Linked DNA regions of Drosophila melanogaster. The protein of the gene in region 1 interacts with the protein of each later gene in a pairwise test. Each region holds a gene or a part of one and is shown in the gene's direction. Other genes may lie near its edges. The genes, in order: CG30122, RunxB, Scsalpha1 and CG11523.

What was found.
Region 2: the proteins of CG30122 (region 1) and RunxB interact in a two-hybrid assay, tested with the Drosophila melanogaster proteins (one large-scale study listed by BioGRID).
Region 3: the proteins of CG30122 (region 1) and Scsalpha1 interact in a two-hybrid assay, tested with the Drosophila melanogaster proteins (one large-scale study listed by BioGRID).
Region 4: the proteins of CG30122 (region 1) and CG11523 interact in a two-hybrid assay, tested with the Drosophila melanogaster proteins (one large-scale study listed by BioGRID).

The regions. Positions count from the first base shown.
Region 1 is NT_033778.4:18,633,264-18,641,201, reverse strand, and holds the start of CG30122 (uncharacterized protein), read left to right. Parts: upstream 1-1,931; 5' UTR 1,932-2,241; coding exon 2,242-2,383; intron 2,384-2,584; coding exon 2,585-3,355; intron 3,356-3,462; coding exon 3,463-4,314; intron 4,315-4,380; coding exon 4,381-4,862; intron 4,863-4,930; coding exon 4,931-5,059; intron 5,060-6,260; coding exon 6,261-6,432; intron 6,433-6,916; coding exon 6,917-7,776; intron 7,777-7,838; coding exon 7,839-7,938. Other genes in the region: CheA56a (chemosensory protein A 56a), read right to left, coding at 400-888, 955-1,008.
Region 2 is NC_004354.4:20,536,798-20,541,537, forward strand, and holds the start of RunxB (runt related B), read left to right. Parts: upstream 1-1,699; 5' UTR 1,700-1,802; intron 1,803-3,907; 5' UTR 3,908-4,083; coding exon 4,084-4,473; intron 4,474-4,740.
Region 3 is NT_037436.4:3,812,258-3,818,883, forward strand, and holds Scsalpha1 (Succinyl-coenzyme A synthetase alpha subunit 1), read left to right. Parts: upstream 1-1,953; 5' UTR 1,954-2,061; coding exon 2,062-2,098; intron 2,099-2,440; exon of another isoform or gene 2,441-2,623; intron 2,624-2,678; exon of another isoform or gene 2,679-2,866; intron 2,867-2,931; exon of another isoform or gene 2,932-2,983; intron 2,984-3,184; exon of another isoform or gene 3,185-3,284; intron 3,285-3,339; exon of another isoform or gene 3,340-3,501; intron 3,502-3,581; exon of another isoform or gene 3,582-3,727; coding exon of another isoform or gene 3,728-3,789; intron 3,790-3,843; coding exon of another isoform or gene 3,844-3,999; intron 4,000-4,060; coding exon of another isoform or gene 4,061-4,088; exon of another isoform or gene 4,089-4,097; intron 4,098-4,374; coding exon 4,375-4,823; intron 4,824-5,179; coding exon 5,180-5,464; intron 5,465-5,526; coding exon 5,527-5,742; 3' UTR 5,743-6,126; downstream 6,127-6,626. Other genes in the region: PIG-B (phosphatidylinositol glycan anchor biosynthesis class B), read left to right, coding at 1-156, 215-796, 860-1,367; Acp63F (accessory gland protein 63F), read right to left, coding at 3,728-3,789, 3,844-3,999, 4,061-4,088.
Region 4 is NT_037436.4:22,265,306-22,268,433, reverse strand, and holds CG11523 (uncharacterized protein), read left to right. Parts: upstream 1-1,754; 5' UTR 1,755-1,879; coding exon 1,880-2,356; 3' UTR 2,357-2,588; downstream 2,589-3,128. Other genes in the region: Csp (cysteine string protein), read right to left, coding at 647-681; Ddx1 (Dead-box-1), read right to left, coding at 2,589-3,034, 3,107-3,128.

The DNA.
Region 1 (7,938 bases):
TCAATTAGATACAAGATTGAGTTCCGACGCTGGAGACGGTTGCTTGGGACGAGCCTTAGAAATGGATCTGAACTGGGAACGTAAAAGCGATATATAACGATAAATAATTATTACAATTCTATGTGCAAATGTGCATGTAAATATTTATGTGAACCCCATTAAAGAACCTATTACTATTTAAAAGAGATTCTTAGCTAAATATATATGCGCATATTCCGTGTAAACGAAACGAAACAATTTCGAATGCAATCATTTTAGCTGTAACTATAAACTGTAATCAAAAATGTAAGAAGAAAAATATATAAAAATGGCTTGGCTATACATACACACACACACAGAGAAATAATTGAGTTTTCATTTATGCCATATATTTTTTCGTGGTATTATAAATTTTTAAGACTATGTGATGATTTCTGCTATACTAATTGTTAACTGAACTCCACCAACACATTCGCCATTTTTTAGATACGAAATGGTGAATCTGTTAAGACCTTTAAAGACAATGGGTGGCCAATCTTCGGTAGAAACAACGCCGTTTTTCACAAAATATGTACCCTTTCGAAAAGGACACATTTCAGCACCGGTAGTGGGTAAATTCGATTCGGTCGATTTTACTAGGAAAAAGGAAATGTAGTAGCGATTGAAAAATTCGCAGGGTTTGCTGGCGGCGGCGTTCACGATTCCCTTGACCCAATATCCATTTTTAAATGCGTGGGATTCGAAAAGGACGTCGAACGTTTCGTCCAAGTCTTCTAAGAAAATAAGAGTTCCATTTATCATGCGGTTTCTACCGAGCAATCGTAGCTGGTATAGAAAAAGGGTTTCGGTACTTCCTTTTACGGCATCTATCGACTCAAAGCGGACTTCATAGTTGCTTTTTTTTGATCCCTAAAAATTAAAAATAAATATATTATTGCCACAAATTTCTTTATTGATTATTTTATTTATTCTTACCACTGACACTGTCCACAGGATCAAAAGGCTTTGTATCATCCACCAAAAAGACATATTCCTGAATTTAAACGCTCCAATTGCGAAATTTTGGATTGTGCATCTTTAACTTATAGATTTTATAGCGACATGAGTATGGCATGTCGATAAAATATATTTCAAATTTAATTATAAGTGAGTGTTAATGAGCACTTGTTCTGCTGAAGGGGCATGGCCACAATCGATGTTACAAAAGTTAGGAAGTTAGGATGTTATAACAAGTTAGGAAAATGGTATAATATAAAAAACATGCAGTTTTTCGTAATAAGTATATTAGCAACGCTGCGTATTAAGTTAGTTTTATTTCAGCATTACATTTTATTAATCAACCTTAAACTATTTTAGCAATTTATAGAAATGACCCAATGGATTTGCAATCCAAGCTTATATTGAAGGTAAGACATCTAGTATTTAAGCATCGGTGGTTCAGTGGTAGAATGCTCGCCTGCCACGCGGGCGGCCCGGGTTCGATTCCCGGCCGATGCAAATTTTGTATACTGTTTTTTTTTTTTGAAATCTTAAATTCGTATTTATTTTATATAGTTTGCAAACTAAAAATAATGAAAAAAAAACATCAATTGCTTGACCCCGACGTGATTTGAACACGCAACCTTCCGATCTGGAGTCGGACGCGCTACCGTTGCGCCACGGAGTCGTTGTTAATGCCTGTGCCAAACAGCCATTATACCTAAAGTCAATTTACGAAAAACACTTTGTTATGCAGGTTTTAATACTATTAATTATGTTTTGAAATAAACATTGACTTTGCCTATTAATTTTTATTGATATAGTATTTACTACAAATCATTCAATCATTAAATATTTTCTTGCAGCGCACATGCAAACGGTTGATGCACACAAGCGCCTTCTATCGCTAGTGATGTTCAGCCTGTTATCGATAGCCACCAAGCACAAGTATCGAACCCAAGCACGGTAGCTCTACGTTTTCGTTTTCCCAATCGCAGCCAACTTCACTTCAACGCGTTCGGTATAATATTTAGGTCCATTTATTTATTCGCAACAAATGCGAATGTAAAAACGAATATTGCGTTTTAATTGTGCGCGCACGGTGCTAGCAACCATTGCGACTTGACTACGGTGACATTTCCAGTGTGGGTGTCATTTGCCAGACAGCGTGATTTGGCCCGAAATTCCCCCAATTCAGTTTTTCACATCGCCAGCTTTTCAGCGGTGCACATTGAGTGAATAAGCGTGTGTGTTTCTGCCGCCAATCCAAATTGAAGCGCAAGAATGGATGTGGCGAAGCTGGAGAAGATGAAGGTGGTGGACCTGCGCAACGAGCTCCAGTCGCGCGGCCTGGACACCAAAGGAGTCAAAGCGGTGCTCGTCGAGCGCCTGAGGGCATATGTGGAAGGAGGAGCCGGCGACGGTGGTAAGTTTGTGTGTATGCGTCATTTGACCGCCCGATTGTTCCAGTGTGTATGTGTGTGGGTGTCACTGTGTGCGTGTGCTTTGCCGCGTCCAAGTCATGCTTGTGTTTCGGTTTCTGTTTGTGTGCGACTGAGCGTGAGTTAGTTGTAAGTTTTCCTTATATAATGATAAAGTAATCACATTTCACTTTTCCCGCGTCCAGAAAATGCGCCGGTCACACCAAGCCGCCGTCAGCGTCGCACGCGCTCTATGTCCCGCTCTCCATCGCCGGTGCAAGCTGCTCCCGTGGCCGCAGAACCAGTGCTCGATACTCTCGAAGAGGAGGAGCAGCCGGAGGATAAGACAGTGCCACAGCCAGAACCAGAAAGTGAACAGCCAGCAGCCGAGCCGGAACCAGAACAAAGTGAGCCGGAGGAAGCTGAGCCAGCTGCAGCAGTGACAGAGGACACAACCGTCAACCAAGCGGTCAATGAGGAGTCGCAGCCTGAGCCCGAAGAGTTTGATGAAAAGTCGGAGACAGACGACAAGCAGGAGACAATCGAAGAGGCAGTACCCGCCGTCGTACCACAGAATGAAGTGGCTGATGAACCCATGGAAGAGGATCATGATGCTGCCCCTGAGGAGCAGGAACCTACACAAACTGAGGAGCCTGTAGAGGAGAAACCAGCCGAGAGCACTGTGGCCGAGCATCAGTCAAATGGCGACAGCCAGAAAATGGACGTTGATGAGGAGGATTCGGCCGCCCCGAAAACGGCGGAGGAGACCGAGCCAGCAGCTAAGCCTGAGGATCAGCCCCCGGAACGCCGCAAGCGATCACACAGTCGGTCCAAATCCCGATCGCGCAGTGGCTCCCGCTCGTCCAAACATCGCGGCAGCGTAGGTGACAAGCGTGAGTCAAAGGCAGCGGCCGAGGAACGCACAGTTCCTGAGGACGAGCCAACCATCGAGGAGAACAAAGTCGGATTGAGCTGGCGTAAGTAGACTTGCTGTTTGCAACGAATTCGATACACACATTCCTTAACGTTCAAAGCTTGATCCATCATTCACAGTAACTAATATCCCTTTGTTTTTATATTCCAGTGGACTCTGACTTGCATTTACGCATCGACCCAACCACGTTTGCATCGGCCAAACCCCTGACATCGGAAATTTACTCGCTTATTTGGTCCGGAGCCCGCGCAAACTACGGAGTGCGCGAAGGCAAAGTGTGCTTTGAGGTGCGCCTTTCCGAGGAGTCGGTGCCGGAGAACTCGCACTACTTCCGCGATGAGCCGCATGTGCGAGGATTCCGCGTGGGATTTTCAATGCCCAAGAGCTCCTTGTTGCTAGGCGAGGCCGAGCATTCATTTGGCTATTGCGAGACCGGGCGTAAGGCTACTCAGAGCGAGTTTACCGATTACGGCAAGCCTTACCAGCTGGATGACGTTATCGGCTGCTATTTAGATCTGGAAAGTGAGCCGTGCACAATTAACTACACTCTGAACGGCGAGGATCTTGGAGTTGCGTTCGAGTTTGAGAAGAGCATACTGGGCGAGGAGGGAGCCCTGTTTCCGCACATCGTTACCAAGGGCTACGAATACTTAGTGAATTTCTCTGACACCGAGCAGCTGTTGGTGAATGCCGAGAGGCCCACGCGCAAGCGCCGCAAGCCACGTAAAGACGAAGACAAGGATAAGGACGACGATAAGGATGACAACGATGGCGAGAAGTGGAAGGTCTTGGACGAAGCCACGGCGGATGATGATGAGGTGGAGAAAAAGGATGAAGATGGCAAGGCTTCTTCGGAGAAAGATGAAGAGGAAGCCGAAGATCCTGAAAAAGCCAAAGAGGATGAGGCGGCGCCAAAAACGGAAACAGAAGCCGAAACTAAAGTCGAGGCTCCTGCTGAAGCTGCTAAGCCCGAATCAGAAGCTACCGAGGCTTCGGAAACTGGTGAGTAATGATTGATTGAAAATCAGTTATCCCACAAAATGCTAATATTTTGGGTTTTCCTTTTAGCTGAAACTTCTACCGAAAAGTCGTCAGAAACTGCAGCTGTGTCAAATGGTGATGCTGCTGCAGAACAGGCAAACGATGAAAAGGCATCTGAGGATAAGAAACCCTCCGAAAACAATGATGAAGAAGATGAGGATGGCCCCTCGCCGAACAAGCGACCCAAAACCGATGGAGATTCGGAAAAGGCTGAATCCGAAAAGGAAAAGGACAGGTCGCAGACGACCGAAGATGAGTACGAGGATGTCGTGCCCGAGCCAAGGGATACAGCTGCCCTGCTGGAAGGCTATGTATTGATCGGCTTAGTACCTGTCGAAAAGCTGGTTTCCGGTCCACAACGCGTCGGATCTCGCAAGGAGTGCGAAGTCATTTTACTGGTTGGCTTGCCAGGAGCCGGAAAGACCCATTGGGCCCATAAGCATGTGGCCGAGAATGCTGACAAGCGTTACGAGTTGATTGGACCCGACGCATTCATTTCAAAGATGACAGTAAGTTGGTTAATAAATGTACATAGCTAGGCGCTGAAGATATTCAGTACTGACCAATATATTTGCAGATCGATGGCGCCTCTCGCAAGACTGTGCACAAAGGTCGATGGGACAAGGTGTACGAGATATGCTTAAATAGCTTGGCGGCTCTGGAAGATATTGCCATGAAGCGGCGTCGAAATTTCATACTTGATCAGGTAAACCATTAACAAATGACCTACATACACCCGAAACAAAACACCAGCCCACAAACACACAAGATTACACTATGAACGAACGATAACCAAACACAAAACGAAACAAGCGAGAATTATACGTTGATGATGACTTTGGCGCCCACCCAACACACTGGGGCTCTGATCCCCTCGGGATTGAGGGGTTCCACCAGCGGGGCACAGCAATGTTGCGCTATATATTTTTTAATTGTACATTTGAGTATGCATTTTTTTTTTGCTCATCGCTCTAACTTAATAGAGTGCCCAAGTGCCCCTAGAAGGGGCACCAACGTGCAGGTATGTCCTAATTGTAAGTCGATCCGATAATTAGAGTGCTTAAGTTTGAGGCAGTAAGTATCTGTGGACTTCCCATTAGCTTAAGTTTTACGTGCAGGCGCAACAGTTGACGGGGCAGTTAAGAGGGAATTGTAAGAAAAGTGGGGATGGAAGTGGATATGGATATGGAAATGGCATTGGAGAAAGATGAGTGAGTGTAATGGAATGGAGTGAAGTAAAGTATGGAAGAAGGAGGAGGAGGAGGAGCGAGCGGCATGGATGCCACTGTAAGTAGACAAACACAAATCCGATCGACGAGTCGTTCGCCTACAATCTAATCACATATACGTATTAGTACCTACTATCTCTACTCTATCTCTCTCTCTAAATGCCAACTATTCTCATATATATGTATGTGTATCTACAGAAAGCTATGCGATGCTTCATCCTACAGCCAGCAGCACAGCCAACCGCGACTACTTTTCCCCCATAGTACATTCTGTTATCCTTATGCAAAGTATTAAGTCAACTGTTGTTAGATGTGGCCGGGTTAACATTAACCCGTCGCCGCCCCCTAGGTATTATGTTGGTGTGCGCGCACCGCTTCCGTAAGGCCCCGCTCCCTTGCCGGCGGAGTGTGGGCGGGAAGTGGGTGTCCCGCCGTGCAACAGGTATGTGTTAGATTATAAGCGCTGAAAGCAAGCGAGCTCAATGCGAGTTGGGTTCGATCCCGGTAGACCGAGGTCTCCAACCGAGCCGTATCATCAACGTGTTTCTCAAGTTCGACGACTGTCCCAACAACAACCAAACCAAATCCAACCAAACAACAACTGGCAGACAAAATCTGAACCCAATTCAACCAAACAACACCAACCAACCAACCGATCAACCAACTGTATTCTTGTAGACCAATGTGTATGCCTCGGCCCAGCGACGTAAAATGAAGGGTTTTAACGACTTCAAGCGAATTGCGGTCGTTTGCATACCCAGCGAAGATGAATTGAAACGTCGCATCGCCGAAAAAGAGGAAAAGGGAAATGCTTTTACAGTTAAAGAATCAACAATTAATAATTTACGAGGTAAATATTATCCACCACACCAAAGCAACGAATTGAAAAAAAAAATCCAGAATAATGTACGATCGTATAACTTATTATTCTACCTATCTAAATAAGGAGGCATTCTTGTTAAAATGAAAAACATTATAAAAACTTATGTAACGTATTTAGTTTGTAAGCAGCTGCACTTTATGTATCTATACGTAATTGTAACTGTAAGCCCTTCAAAATATCTCATAATTTGATTATTATTATTACCATTATTCATTAACATTTATTCTATAACAACCCCCACTTGGCAACTGGAACGTATAAAGGATGGACTTTATTCACAACTGGATTTCTTGAAAATCGAAATTTTTGCGCCCTTTTACGTTCGGTTGCCAAAGTTGATCCCTTCTTTCCCTCTATACTCCATCTACAATAATTCCTAATCTGTAATGATAATGAGCGATTTTAGCAATTGTGCAGCCTTATTGATGATGTACACGCAATCTTTTTCCAGCCAACTTCACACTTCCCTCGCTGGAGTTTGGCTGGTTCGATGATATAAACTACACGGAGCTGACTGGTGACGAGGCCAAGAGCGAGGTCAAGAAGTACAACGAGAAGGGCAAAAAGGCCATTGACGCGGAGAGGTCGCGTGACAAGAGATCCCGAGGAAGTCGCGACAACTATCGTCGTGATGACCGGAACCGGAATCGATACAATGATGACCGACGTCGTGATTATGGCGGCCAGCGGCACGAAAGTCGTTGGAGCGACTCCCGCAGGGGAGGCGGCGGTGGCGGTTACTCCAGCAATAGTGGTGGAGGCGGCAGTCGTGGCTACGACAATCGCCGCAACTACAACAGCGGTAGCGGTGGCCAGCAAAATTGGGTGCAGAACAGCCGCAGAAGCGGGTACGATGATCGCGGCTATGGTGGCGGTGGAAGCGGCAGTCGTGGATACGACAATCGCAACCGTGGATACGCAGGCGGCAGCGGTGGTGGTGGCGGCGGCGGCGGTGGTGGTGGTGGTGGTGGTGGTCAGCAAAACTGGATGCAGAACAACCGCAGAAGTGGGTATGACGACCGCGGCTACGGCAGCTCGCGGGACTATCGCGATCGAGACCGTGGCAACGACCGCAGTCGAATGGGCAGTAACGACCGGAACCGGGGCAGCAGCCAGAGTAGCTATCGCTCGGGAGGTGGTACTCATCAACAACGGGATTTTCGGCCTGGCCACCGCGACACCAAAGAAGATAGTCGCGGTGGCTATGAGCGGTCAGCTGGTCAATCGCTACCCAAGTATGGCAATAACACCGCTGTAGGCGGTGGCTACGATCAGTACAAGCAACAAGGTGGAGCACCTGGCGGAGGCAAGGTAAGTGTGCGACCAAATCCTCGACGCATGACAGCTGGCTAAGATCTCGATCGTTCCTGTAGGCCTCCCTTAGCGGCAAGTGGAGTACGTACAGTCAACACCATCAGCAACAGCAGGCGCCGCAGCATCAACAAACGGGCATCTGGCAGACTCAGCAGCAGT
Region 2 (4,740 bases), on another chromosome or scaffold:
TCACTCACTCTTCGGGTTTTCTTCGCCGCAAATGGCAGCCACAAGACATTGGCGCTCTCTTTCTCGCACGCAGATGCCATCTCTTTCGCCCTGGCTTACCAATTCCTGGTTTGCCACAAAGCCGCGTCTCCAACGCTTTGCTTTCGCTTGGATTTTTCTTCTTTTTCCCATTTTGAGACGAGATGAGAGCATTTTTTTGAGTCCTTTCCAAGAAAGAAATTCTTTCGGGGGTTGAAGCAGGAAAAATGAAAAAACACTGAAATGCAAAGAAAAGCCTGGGAAAAACTCAAGAAGTTCGCCCATCTCTCTCTCGCCCACTATGCACCTCTCACTTGCGCCATCGCCTCTGGAATTTTTTCCAGAGTGCGCCAAAAAATTGAGCGCAATTTTTCTAAGATGCCCGTGGTGGGTTGCCCTTTCTTCGGGGGGGGTGGTATGTGGGTGGTGGGAGCTGGGTGGCTCGGTTGGTGGTTCTACTCTTCTCTGTCCAACTTGAAGACGTCGTTGCGGCCTTTCTGCTTGTGGTGTAGTTGACGTTTTCTGGTTTCGGTTTTCGGTTTTCGGTTTACTTTGCCCCTTGCCCCGGACCCTCCCGCTGCCGGCGTCGCTGCCGGCTTCGACGTCGACTTCGACTGCGCTGCCAGAGGACAACCGCTGCTACTGGTTCTCGCGGTAAATGTTAAGCCAAAAAGGAGGAGAGGCGGCATCCAAGCATCCAGAACAACAACAACAGCAACAGCTAAAGACGAGGAAAAACTGCAAGAAACAGCACAATCAAACCTCAATAAATGGAACGCCTTGTTTCACCGTGCACTACAATAACGATATTTTTTTTACCATGGTTCAATATATTTAAAATTTACAAGATAGCACTAAAAAGATCTCGAGAGAAGGCTCGACCAGACCAAAGAGATATGATGATATGATATCAAAGTTTTTGGTTCGCCGAGCCGGATGTTGCATGAAAAAAATTGTGCACTTCCTTGCAATTTTACCATTCAAATAATATTAAATTCATGTATAAAGTTAAAAAGGTATTAGTGGTGTTATATGAGCCTTCTTGCGGAGTCCTGACTGTATATACCCCCAGCAGTTGAGCAAGAAGTCGACATAGACGTTCCCCTGGGGGGCGGGAGTGCTTTTCGAGTGCTTGGGAGGTGAGGTGGTCCTGTTTCTTTTCGCCTGTGATTATGATGAGGCGTCGCCTGCGCTTCCTCGTCCTTAGCGTCCTTAGCGTCCTTAGCGTCCTTCGCGTCTTTCGCGTCCTCCGGCAACTTCGTGAGCTCGCTGCGTGAGACTTCGTTACTGTTGGATGCTGTGCACTAGCTCTATTCCAAATCGGTGGCCCTCAGCCGGCATCGCGGTCGCGGTCGACGTCGCTGCCGACGTCGGTGGTCGGCGTTGCCAACCGCTCGTAGTGGTCGCGTTCATGGTTACCGCAAAAAAATAGTTTAATATCTCCGTGTCGTTTGATTCGATCGCCAGTCTCAGCCCCCGTCGATGTGTCCATGTGGCTGTTCCACTAAGCCCCATCATTTGTGTCTGTGCCAGTGCGTCAGTGTGTGCGTTATCGTGCGTGCTTGTGTGTGTGCCGGTGGCTGATACAAAAAAAAAAAAAATTACAAAAAATTCAAGTAATTAGAAATCTCGAAATCGAAAGAGTCTGGCCGAAATTCAATAATTTTTTTGTAGTGCTTGTGGTGCCGACGTATTGAAAATATCTGTACAAAATAAAATTGTTTTTAAGTCCAACTAACACATGGTGTTTGGAGAATATAAATAATTGTTAAAACTGAGTTAACGTAAGTGTGTGATATCCATGATCGTCCATAAAACACAGCTATAGAAATTACAACGAATTTTGTTTTGTTTCACACACAATTTTGTCAAGTATTAAATAAAGTTGTTACATCCCGTAAACTATCGATCTATCTGTTGATCATTGCATTAAATCTATAATTAAATGTTATGCCTTATTTACCGTTTTATTAACATTTCCCAATATCGTAAGGATAAATTAATTTTGTATAATGAAATACTAATCAATCGAAGCAAACTTAAGAGCAACTAATTTTACCATTTAAAATCTAAACTTTATTTAGTGTAAGAAATGCAGCCCAAGAGCGTTAATTGCCACGTCAATTGTTTTGATTTTCTAAGCATTTTGGCATAAGTGCATCTTTTTCTAAATCTTTTTTTTAAATTTGTTGGTCTAATTGTGGCTAGCCCCGCCACCGAGTTGTTTTTTAACCGATTATATAGACCACGCCCCCTTCCGCTCATCTGTGGCCACATGGGCCGCCACATAGTCGCTTGGCCAGCTCATTTGGCGGGACATCTGCATTCGGCAGTTGGTAAAAAAAATGCATATAATCATACATATGGGTTCACACGTACACACATGTATTCATTTCGGAGCGGAAGTTGTAAAAAACGCGTATACGCAGCGTGTGCACATATGTACATACATGTACAGATATATATCTTTAGGTTCGATTGTGTTTGTGCAGCACTTGCTACTCTACATTACAAATCAGGAAGAAAATTGCAAGGGTTCTAATAGGCCGAAGCTCTGGATGCGCTATATCCTCTTTGGAAAAATGAATTAATAGCTCATAAATAATTTTGTTACCCACTCTCATTTATTATCTTGTCTTATCATAATCATTTTAATTATTTTATTAAAAACAGTTAAAATATTAATTTTTGCCCATTTTACGAATTTACTTTGGAAATAGTAAGTCTTCGCTGATAAGCCTATAGTAATGAAGGCTTAATGATTGCCATAAGTTCATAGGCCTTTATCTTAAGCACATTTATCAAAATATGTATTCTGAAACTAACGAACCCAGTAATGGGTTATTTAATTTTTAATTCGGAATTTTTCAAAATTATTTCGCATAACTTAGAGACCTGGCCAGAACGTAGTGAAAAGTATCGTGAAAATAGTTGGTGGAAAAAAAAAATCCGGCATCGTGAAAACAAAACGCGGCTGTGTCCGGCAACTGGTTTTTATTTAAACAAAAGCGACTGGCTGGCCAAACACAAACCGGCAACATCTGGCGCTTTCGATAATTTTCCCCCCTGGCTTTTTGCCATTTTTATTCGCCATTTGATGGACATAAAATGGAATTTTCACACCGACCCACACTCGCAGTCGTACATCTTAGTTTGGGCACTGCCTACGGGTCGAAATTCCTCATTATTGGTTATGATTTTTTAATATTTAATTGAGCTGCACTCGCCGACGACGGCTTAAATGCAAATTGTGCGCAAAGGTGTGCGGTTCGCTGCGATTGCATTCGATTCGATTCAATTCGATTCATTTCGAATCGATTCGATTCAATTCGGCTGCTTCTGTTTTCTGTTTGGTTTCCAGATAGCGATACTATACAGCAACAGTTTCTGATTCTGATTCCGAATCTGGATGTGCCTTTGTGTCCCCGACCTCCCGAGGTCAAAGTGCAATAATAATTGAGCTGTTGTCGCTGACGGCAATAAACAAAAAGTGCAGCATACTTATGCGGGCTGCAAACTGAAAAACAAAGAAGCAGTGGCAACAAAAGCATCGCAGCTCGTACAAAAAGATATTATCTATGTGTGTGTGTGTGTGTGTTCCAAAAAACGCTTTTGAAATAAATTACAGTGCAGTGCATTGGTGCAAACTAGTTAATGTATTTTGTTGTACTCTTGTTTTAGGAGTTTTTGCATGCAATTTTATTACATTTAATTTTTAAGTTTTTTATTTGATTTATTTTAAATGGATTTTGCTTATTTTTTACATTATATTCCATTTATCAATCGATTATCCAGAGAAATTGCTTTGGGGAACAACGTACAGACACAGACACACAAAAAATCCGCTGGCAGTCCGAAATCTCACTCGCAGTCCACATTAATTTTCCAGATTGACCAAATGAGCTGACAATGATCGGATTGAAAGCGTCGACTCTTTGAGGCAGGCATTGAAATCAAACCGAAAACCCACGAAACCCGCCGGCAACTGAATCCACTGAATCCACTGAGTACTGGCAACCAAAGAGGGGCCCTGAAATACCTTGTGCCCAGCTAGCAGCTGCAATAATGCACATTTCTGCTGAGGTCAGTTCGACCACCTCAAATCAAATACAGCAACAGCAGCAGCAACATCAGCAGCAGCAGCAACATCAGTTGTTGCAGCACCAGCAACAACAGACAGCAACAACGACCACAACGAAGCGGCGGAATGCTGAGTCCTCTGCCAGCAGCAATAACAACAACAACAACAATACCAGCACCACCAACAATAATAATACTAACAATAACAACAACAGCACCACGAACAACAACAACAACAACAATAATAATAATGTTAAAACAAAGCCCGTGGACACGAGTCCCTACTTAACCCCCGAGAATCTCATCGAGCGCACCGTCGACGTCCTGCTCGCCGAACATCCTGGCGAGCTGGTCAAGACGGGATCTCCACATGTGGTGCGTACTCATATCTCATAACTGCAAAGATTTTAACTTTCAGCAAACTAAAAAAAAAAAAAAACCAATTGAGTGTCAACAAATAAACGCTCTATATATTTCTATATATTTCTATAGCAGTGTTGTTGAGAATGCATTTTTTATAAGAAAATAACTCTTTTTGGACAAGACCAAATCTTTTTTTTCGCGCAAAACTAATGATTTGCGTTGAGAGGAATTGTCAAATTGCTTCGTTAAAATATATATAAATGGTAAAAGAAATACCAA
Region 3 (6,626 bases), on another chromosome or scaffold:
GTATGGCGAATCCACTGCTTACCTGTGGCCAGCTGCCATCTGCTGCTTCCTGAGACCTACGGCTGCTGTTATTTGGCTCCCATTATCCTTGTATCATCTGCGCAGAAGTCGCCAGAACGTGCTGGAGCTGATCCTGAAGCGATTTGTGCTCATTGGGTAAGATAAGAAATCTAAAACATTGACAGTTTTATAATAATCCAACTTTAACTTGTAGTTTACTCGTTGCTGGTCTGGGAATAGCCATCGATACCTATTGGCATGGCCAGTTGATAGTGACTCCGTACGAGTTCCTCAAGTACAACATATTTAACAACATCGGCAGCTTCTATGGCTCACACCCTTGGCACTGGTACTTCAGCGTGGGCTTGCCCACAGTCCTGGGCATCAACACCTTGCCCTTCATCTTTGGCGTGATGGAAACTGTGAAGAAGTCGGAGAAGTACCCTGTTAGCAAGCAGCTTCTGATCACCATCTTCCTGACTCTGGTTGTTCTGAGTGCTGTGGAGCACAAGGAGTTTCGATTTGTTTCCCCGCTCCTGCCGCTCTGCTTGTACGTTATCACAGATGCCCTATCGCGTTGGAGCATCAGAGCCTCGAGCACAATGTTGTGGACCACCGCTTTGGTCATTCTCGTGGGCAATGTTATGCCCGCCTGGTATCTGAGCACAGTGCATCAGAAGGGACCCATTGAACTGATGCCCAAGTTGAGAGAAATAGCTCGGGAATACAGAGATGAACGCGAACACCAGGCGAATATTCTCTTCCTAATGCCTTGCCACTCCACACCATACTATAGGTAAGAAGTTTTGGACTTCACTATTCTTCAATGTTTTAATTTTGCTTTTTGCTTTCTTGTTAGTCACATTCACCAGAATGTCACCATGAGGTTTTTGACTTGCGAACCGAACCTGGAAAAGAAGGAGCAGTATAAGGACGAGGCCGATCGCTTCTTTGAGGATCCCGTGCACTGGATTAACTCGCACATTCCTATGCATCCGCTCACCGCTTTGCCCACACATGTGGTTCTGTTCGATCCGCTGGCCGAGAACATAAGCGTGTTCCTCCGTAACTACCGGCTGCTCCATCGCATCGAGCACGCAGAGGTAACACGGCTGGAGGGCTCGCAGGCTCTGGTGGACCAGTGGTCGGAGGCACTGGGTGCCCAGTCACCTAATCTTGCTTCTCTCTTGCAGAATCGCCAATCGCGCACAGGTCGTTCCATTTTGGTCTACCAGCGCTTGAAGAAGGGCGAGGAGAATGCATTTAATCGCGGGCCGGATTCAGGACAGCACGAGCCGGATGTCCACGATCATCCGCCGCTGGAGGATCTCGTCCTGGCCAACGAGAACGAGAATCTGTTCAATTAGATAATAGAGAAAATAAGAGAACCCACCACCGACGCCCTCCGTTCAAAAGCAAGAAGCAATGACACATTTGAGATTAACTAATAGATACAAACCTATATTTTGTATCCATTTTTGGCCTTAGCAAAAGTTTTTAAAACGTTGTCGCCCGAAGAGAACAGAAAACAGAAACGTAGTTGATATTCGTAGGCGCATGTTGTGTACTCTGTGCTAGTTGCTAATGTGTAAGCCATCTGAGTATTTAGACGCTAGAGGCAATGTATTTTACGTAGTCGATACAACACACTTGATCTGTCCTTTCTTTAAGATCTCGAAATAAAGGTTCAGTGGAGTAGATAAAGATTTATTTGAGATTTACATATTTTGTATATCTTATTGGTGGTTTAAACATTAATTTTCGACGTTTCTTATTTTTTTTTTTTTAATTATCTTTTTAAAATATTTAGCTAATTACATTTTCATAGAACAGCTGTTTGAAATGTAACTGTTCAACTTTCTAATCGATTTGTGGAATACCCCGATTGTAACTTATCGCAGCTAAAATATCGATGGTGTGTCGTAAGCCTTTGCAGTCGCTCTATCGATACTATCGCAGTGGTTAACTCAGCACTATTCGGCCGATTTCGCACTGCATTAATTAAACGCGTTTTAATTGAGTAAAGCTGTTTTTATCGCACAACCACCACACACAGATAATATGGCTGCTTCAATGAGGGCGCTGCTGAAAGTGCGAGGTGCGTATTCTCCACATCGGTTGCCTAACACGCCCGATAGCCTAACAGCATAATAAATTATATAACTTCAATGGATTTACGGCACCAAAAGAACAAATATCCAAGCAATTAGGGAGCACCTGTCGTTCCGACGCATCTGCTGATTAGTCGGCCTCCATTCGGATTAATAAGCGGCTCAATTTGCGAATCCGCAGATACGTGGCTTTGAAATGATTAAAGAGGGGGAGTGCGGGGGTTGTGTTCAAGGTTCGCTTGCATGTGACCCAGCGTACAAACAACCGTTTTTTTTCGGCAACAAGTACAGTGGAACACCGCTTTGGTGACCATCACTTTTTAACTTTTCTCGTAGTGGATATACGTGTATACTTTTAATTTAATAGTTCAAACAAATAATTGCTGCAAGCATTTGCCTTCGTCAAAAAGTTATTTAATTCTAATTTAGTTTGGGATATTTTTTCCAAGCTCCGATCTATATTTATGAATATTTGCCCTTAGGGCATTTGGCATGAATTACTTTTTTGAGTTCTGAAAGCATGGATAAACTTAGTATCGTTCTAAAAGTCAAACTGGTCAGACCTACCTGGCAAACCATTTACTTTACGAAAGCAGACTTCGGTCTTCAGGAAGCTGGCAGTAAGGAAGGTATAGTGGCAATCCGCTGTTATTCCGCACCATGGATCTGCTTTCACCGTAGCTGAATTGGGGGGTTCAAGAACTTTTGGCATTCTTCAACAGTTAGGACACCATTGACTTCTATCATTGTTACAACTGTCACAGGGATGAAACCATACCATGTTTATAGGTATATTCCCATTAAATCTTAGGTAACTCACTGAGTATAAGGATATATCCGAAAATCTTCATGGTGAGATTGAGATTGAATGTTTCGCAAGTGTTGCAGGGTTTTACAAAGATTAGCTGCTAATTACCGAAACATGTCGTATTTAAGGCGATTAAAGCAACAGGTGTGGAATTTCTTAACAAATGTCAAGGCCACAAAAGGCGGTGTTTCTAAACTTTAGATTACATAGATTTTTAAAATGGTAAAAATGAAGAGTTAAATCTTTATTGAAAGTGATCAAGGATATAAAATGCCTTATAATATAAAAAAGTTATTTTCCTTATCTAGTTTTCCTGCATCTGGGTTTACCCCGGGGACACCTTCCGGCCTTGATTTTCAGAAATACTGGACATGTAAATAAGGTTAGGCGAACTGAATACGATAATTGAATTGAACCTACGAGGCTTTCCCAGTTCAGTCAGTTTGCACTGCTCTTGTCCAACGTGCAAAAGACTCAAGCCTTGGAAGTTACAGGTAGCGGCAAACGCGCAGAATGGACTTCCAGCTTTTATAAATCCTTCACAGACACTCTTTCCATTCGCAGTCTCGAATATATTCATAACTGCAGTGGTTGAATAGTTCAGAACGTATGTATTTACTCGCAGTTTCTTGCGTAGAAACTCACTCAGAAATAATAAGAAGCTCAAAGCTTTCATAATCGCACGCAGATTGAGTAGTTTACATATAATTTAATGCTTTAAAATGCTTCTCAGAAGAATTATAGAATATAGGTATTTATAATGCCTTTAATTGAAACATATATGCATGGAAATATTGGAACAATATTACTATTTTAACGAGCAACGCGGTTTACCATGGAGACATTTTCCGGGAATTAGTTCGATGAATCCTAAACGAATCGATTAAGTTTTCTGAAACACAAAAGGTGTCAACAATTACCCACCTGGTTTTCCGTTTTCTTTGCGTTCACACGACACCCTTTTGAGGTAACTTGGATTTGGACCATCTAAGTTACAATCGGGAAGTATTCCGCAGTGAGGATCAAGATTTAGATAAATTGCTTGGTTGCATTTGCTCATAGCATGCACACTTGAAATGACTAAAGGGGATGTAAAAGTAAAACAATTTCGGTTAGCAACATAAGCTCCAAAAAAACTCACACAGAATAAAAACGATGATAGCTTTCATCTTGCAAAGCGACTGATATTCTTAAAGAAAATACTCAACTTAAATAGATCTATATATGGCATGAGTTCTGGAACATATTCCATTCGATCTAGAAAATCAATTATGTGTACTTGGAAAATGGGCAAGAAATATAGGAATTTAATAAATAATAAACCTTTCTCGAACGTTACGCAAATGAAATTATCATGTAACTATGTAAGTTTACACTTGCAGGCTGGTTTATTAATATCCAAAATACTAAATTTCCAACTTTAGTCCTAAAATGATTCATTCTTACATTTTTCAGATGGCTTCGTGGCCGGAGTGCGCTGCAATTCGCAGTACAACAAGACGCGCGGCAACTTGAAGCTGAACGGCGATTCGCGGGTGATCTGCCAGGGATTCACCGGCAAACAGGGCACGTTCCACAGCCAACAGGCTCTGGAGTACGGCACCAAGTTGGTCGGCGGCATTTCCCCCAAGAAGGGAGGCACCCAGCATCTGGGACTGCCCGTCTTCGCTTCGGTGGCGGAGGCCAAGAAGGCCACCGATCCACATGCCACCGTCATCTATGTGCCACCACCGGGCGCTGCGGCCGCCATCATCGAGGCTCTGGAAGCGGAGATCCCCCTGATCGTTTGCATTACGGAGGGTGTGCCGCAGCACGACATGGTGAAGGTGAAGCACGCCCTCATCAGCCAGAGCAAGTCGCGATTGGTGGGTCCCAACTGCCCGGGAATCATCGCCCCCGAACAGGTTCGTACATCTCCAGCGCTTGAGAGATAAGCTTGGCCAGAGGGCAAAGTCCACGTTCATCTGGTGGTTTTCTTATCTCTTGGTATGACGCTCGCTTTGAACTACATATATCTGTTTACTATTCCGTTTTCAATTTGCTTATTGTTAATGTATAAACAGGCCTCCATTGACACACCCTTAAATTTGGGCATTGAACTTTGCACCTGAAGTTGGTGGAATTTGCGGACGATACGTTTTTTATTACCATTTATAACGCTTATCTTTCTATGCGTCACAAAACTTAGTGATTACCCACTTCACTCCACTTTCAGTTAAGTCAATTGTATAATCTTAAACTATGTTTTTTCTGATTGCAGTGCAAGATCGGCATCATGCCGGGTCACATTCACAAGCGCGGCAAGATCGGCGTGGTCTCGCGCTCGGGAACCTTGACCTACGAGGCCGTGCACCAGACCACGGAGGTGGGTCTGGGCCAGACCCTGTGCGTGGGCATTGGAGGCGATCCGTTCAACGGAACCGACTTCATCGACTGCCTGGAGGTCTTCCTCAAGGATCCCGAGACCAAGGGCATCATCCTGATCGGCGAGATCGGAGGCGTTGCCGAGGAGAAGGCTGCCGACTACCTGACCGAGTACAATTCGGTATGAGAAGCCATCACGGATCAATGTATTTCATTGCTAAATGTTTTTGTATCCTATTGCAGGGCATCAAGGCCAAGCCTGTCGTCTCGTTCATTGCCGGAGTGTCGGCGCCACCCGGCCGTCGCATGGGTCACGCTGGAGCCATCATTTCCGGAGGAAAGGGAGGTGCCAACGACAAGATCGCCGCCCTGGAGAAGGCCGGCGTCATTGTGACCAGGAGTCCTGCCAAAATGGGCCACGAGCTCTTCAAGGAGATGAAGCGTCTGGAGTTAGTGTAAATAATTAAAGGCCATAACCAAACCGGAATCCGTACGCCGATCAAAGCGTATACGCAAACTCATGATGATGAACCTAACGTTAAGCTAAAAGTGTCGAAAATCGAAATTGCATTCGAGCGAACCCAAATAAATTATTGTGAAAAATTACTAGAGAGAAACGAGAGGCGTTGAATTGTGACATGTATTCCAAGAATTAAGTTAACTACTGCCGTACCACCAAGTTGAACTAAAATAACTCGCACCAAAACCAAGATTTCTAATTGTTATTGCACTCGGCTCATTGTTTGTGTTGCGAACAGATTTTTGCCTTAATTTTAAATGCCTGCTCGAATTATCAATGCGAATTGTATCTGAATGTGTAATAAATATGCATAAAAACAGGATAGATGTGGTGAATTTTCGTGGTTTTAGCTATACAAGCCATATCCTTTGAAAATATGAATTTTCAGGTCAATTTATTTAATCTAAACTAAAATTCTTTGGAGAAGAATTAACAAAACAATAATTTATGAAAAGCAATGCTTACCATATTAAAAAAAGATTTAAGGAAATTTAAAAAAATGTAGTTTTCTACTTTCGATATTTAATGGGATCGACTTGCAAACATCAAGAGCACACATCGATAGAGCGGAAGTTTCGATTAACTCGTGAAATATCTGGCAACATTAATATCGAACTGCCATCGCTTTTTGTGCCAGCTCTAATAAACATATATATGTTTTAGGGCCGCGATTGAAAATGCGTGCCACAAAGGCCTAAACAAACTTGGAAAACACCGCGAAAAACGTCAGAAGCTATAGTGCCGATTCGCATATTGTTCGCCACCCCGGAAAAGTGTGAAAATCGCAGATAATCAAAAGGGAGAGCAACCAAAGGAAAAGCAA
Region 4 (3,128 bases), on another chromosome or scaffold:
TCGACTCATTTTTTCTCTATTAAACAATTGAAATCGTGCGATTTGCGGGCAAAAGAGGTGTGGCCAACCGAGAAGAATGCAAGAGGAAGAGGAGAAAGGAAGAGGAAATTCTCATACTGTGTAGTTATAATGTGTAATTCTAATAATGGTCTGTATGTATTACATAGCACATATCTGAATGATATCGGCTCGAGTCTTGATCGATGATGTGCGTAGCCTTTTTTCTACCTTTTACATTTTCCTGCCTAATGCAACATAAGTTGAAACTATGCCACTAAGATTTTAACTAACGATTATTGAAATCAAATAAAAATCGAATTCCGTCAAATGGCCAAATTTGTCCTTGGCCTTGCCCAGGACGAATTCGCTTGTCCGAAATCAAACTCCAGCCGCAGCTGCCCTCCCCTTCCCACTACCGGAGCCCATTATTACCCCTGACCCGGTTCCTTGTTTATCCCGACGTGGAAAGGAAAGTGCCTGCTGGCTCGAGAAAACTTCTGCCGCGAAAAATCAATTTCGCGCCGACCGCGCTGCCTGCGCGCAGCTGCTACTCACACTCGCGCACGGGCTGAGTGTGTGTACTCTGCCGACGGCGCGTGTGTGTGCGCCGTGGAGGAAAAATGAAGGAGCACTACAAAATACTTACGACAGTTTTCTCTTGTCCATGCCAGGTGCGCTCATCCTGATGCCTGTGTCACTTTGACTGCGAACGGGTAACTTGCACTAGCGATCGCTGTCACACGCAGTGAAAGTCTGTGCCTGCCAAGAACCACAATCTGTGCGTGTACTCTTATAATTGCAGTTTTTGACGTCCGTACCGATGCCTCGATTCTTATTTTTTTCGCAACGAAATTAGAGATGGAACTGAACCGATGTTCTATCTTATCGGTTTACCTGCCGACATCAATGATTTCCAGCTCTGGACTAACACGCCATCTATCGCAACATTAATAGCTGCTGTTACGGGACTCACTGTAAGAAATCGCATCGAAAGTGTGCACCAGAGAACTGCAGCAAGCCACTGGCACTCCAAGTGCACCCGCTAAACACTGTTGTATCTAGGCAGCCGGGTGTTTTTTGACACTCTACTTGCGGGAATAAAAAATATCCGACAGTTTTTTATTACGAGCGCAATAACCTTTTCTGGTGAGCGACTCACAAGCAACGATCGGCCGCAGGTCATTTTCTGTATGCATAAAATTTGTATGGGCGGAAGCGAGATTGTCTAAGAAATGAAGGGTGAAAGGGAACACCCAAGGAAAAGGTCGTGCACGTGTTTTTTTTTTTTTGATGCAACCCATTTCGCAGAATATTTTTTTATTAATATTTTTTTATTTAAAAATTAAATTAAGTTTTTTAATTATACAATTACAAAGTTAAATAAGGGAAGCATATATTAAGAACTAATAATAAAATAAAAAAAATTGTCTATTTCGTTTTTTTTTAAATTATTTAATTAAATTAAAATTATTTACAGTTTTGTAAAAAGAATGTAAAAAAGAGGCTATATACAAATTTTGGACTTAATCCATAATCTATACTATGCACCCCTCCATTCCAATTTCAATTATTTAGGAGTAATTTATACTTTCGATACGACAGCAACCGTTTTATATCGGTACGTCTTACGAACTTCTATTAAACCAAAAACTAAGCTAAATTGCATGTAAAATCATTAATAACGATTATATTCAGTTTGGCCGGAACGCCCTGCTCCGCTTCATCGGTCAAAATGTACTAACGCGTGGCACACGCCACACAGCTGCTGTGACACATATGGAGTAGAGTGGAACGACATGTTGCGCCTGTAAAAGGGAATCAGATCGACTGGGATTCAATTAAAAGGCGAGCCGCAGAGCTCCGAAGCGATTCTGTTAGGATGGGCGAACCGAAAGCCACCGCAGACCCTGGGGAGGAGCAGGCCTTCAACTGCGAGGACGAAGCCAACGCCATAATTAACGATGTTAAGGCTCACGTCGCTGAGATTTGCATCTCATCCAAACTGGCAAGCGATGCCACGCAAATTTACCTGAACATCCGGACTATCGAGAGCGCCACTTGCTGCGTTCAGGTGAGCAGTCGTGGCTTCAAGATCGTCTCCTCCCAGTACGACACCATAGACGAGGACAGCCGGATCTCTGCACTGCTTCGCAACGGACAAGAGCAAGGCGACGACGAGGAGGAGGAGATATTTGAAACGCCGTACGCGCTGCTGGACAAGATCAGCCCCCGCTACGTCGAGTCGTTCGGCAACCAGCTGTGCCAGCAGCTTAGAGCGCTGCAACAGATGCGAACCGAGTTCAACGAGGAGGACGAGGAGGAGGAGGAGGAGGCGGAGGAGGAGGAGAAGAAGTGACGGTAACCGGACTCCAGCTTTCAAACGAGGCTGTTTACTCTTTAGACAGACGATTTTAATGTTAGTTTAATTAAATGTTTATTTTTAATAGCAGAGCTTGAGCTCCGACTTCCTACATATACAAAATTGTGTGTTTGTGCCGCAAAAGTATTTCCGCGTGAGTTGGTCTTGCACTTCTCAATTCACCACATCCTTTCCTTGCATAGCAAACAAATGTCGCTCCAGATCCGCGTTAGACCTTAAGACGTTTCAAGAATAAAGATTGTGATTGCAACTCTAGCTCCGTCAGTTTGCGTACAGTTGGCACCAGCTGCTCGACGTGGTCTTCGTAGCCGCTGCCAGTTCTTAAATTCTTTTGACCGTACACGACCTTGCCGTCGAAGTCATTAACTGGCACATCCATGGTCTTGTCCACCTGCTGGATGGTGATGTTCAAGTGGTCCTCAACTTCGGCCAGTAGGTTTGGTTCGTTGTACCAGATGCAGCATCCTCGGACTTCGGTTAAGTTTGTGTTGTTGCAGCTACGGCCGCGCGACTTGCACCACTCGCCGTGGTACCAAACCTTCTCCGGCACTGTTGCCACCAAACTAATGGCCAACCCCATGCGTTCCGCCCTGCCCACACGTCCGATGCGATGAACGTAATTGGTCTTGTCATCGGGCAGCGTCACATTTATCACTGAGGATAAGGAAGTAAATTATTTGGAAAATGGTTTAACGACGGTTATTGTTTCAAAATTTGAGAACTTACTAAACGGCAGCCCCGTAATGTC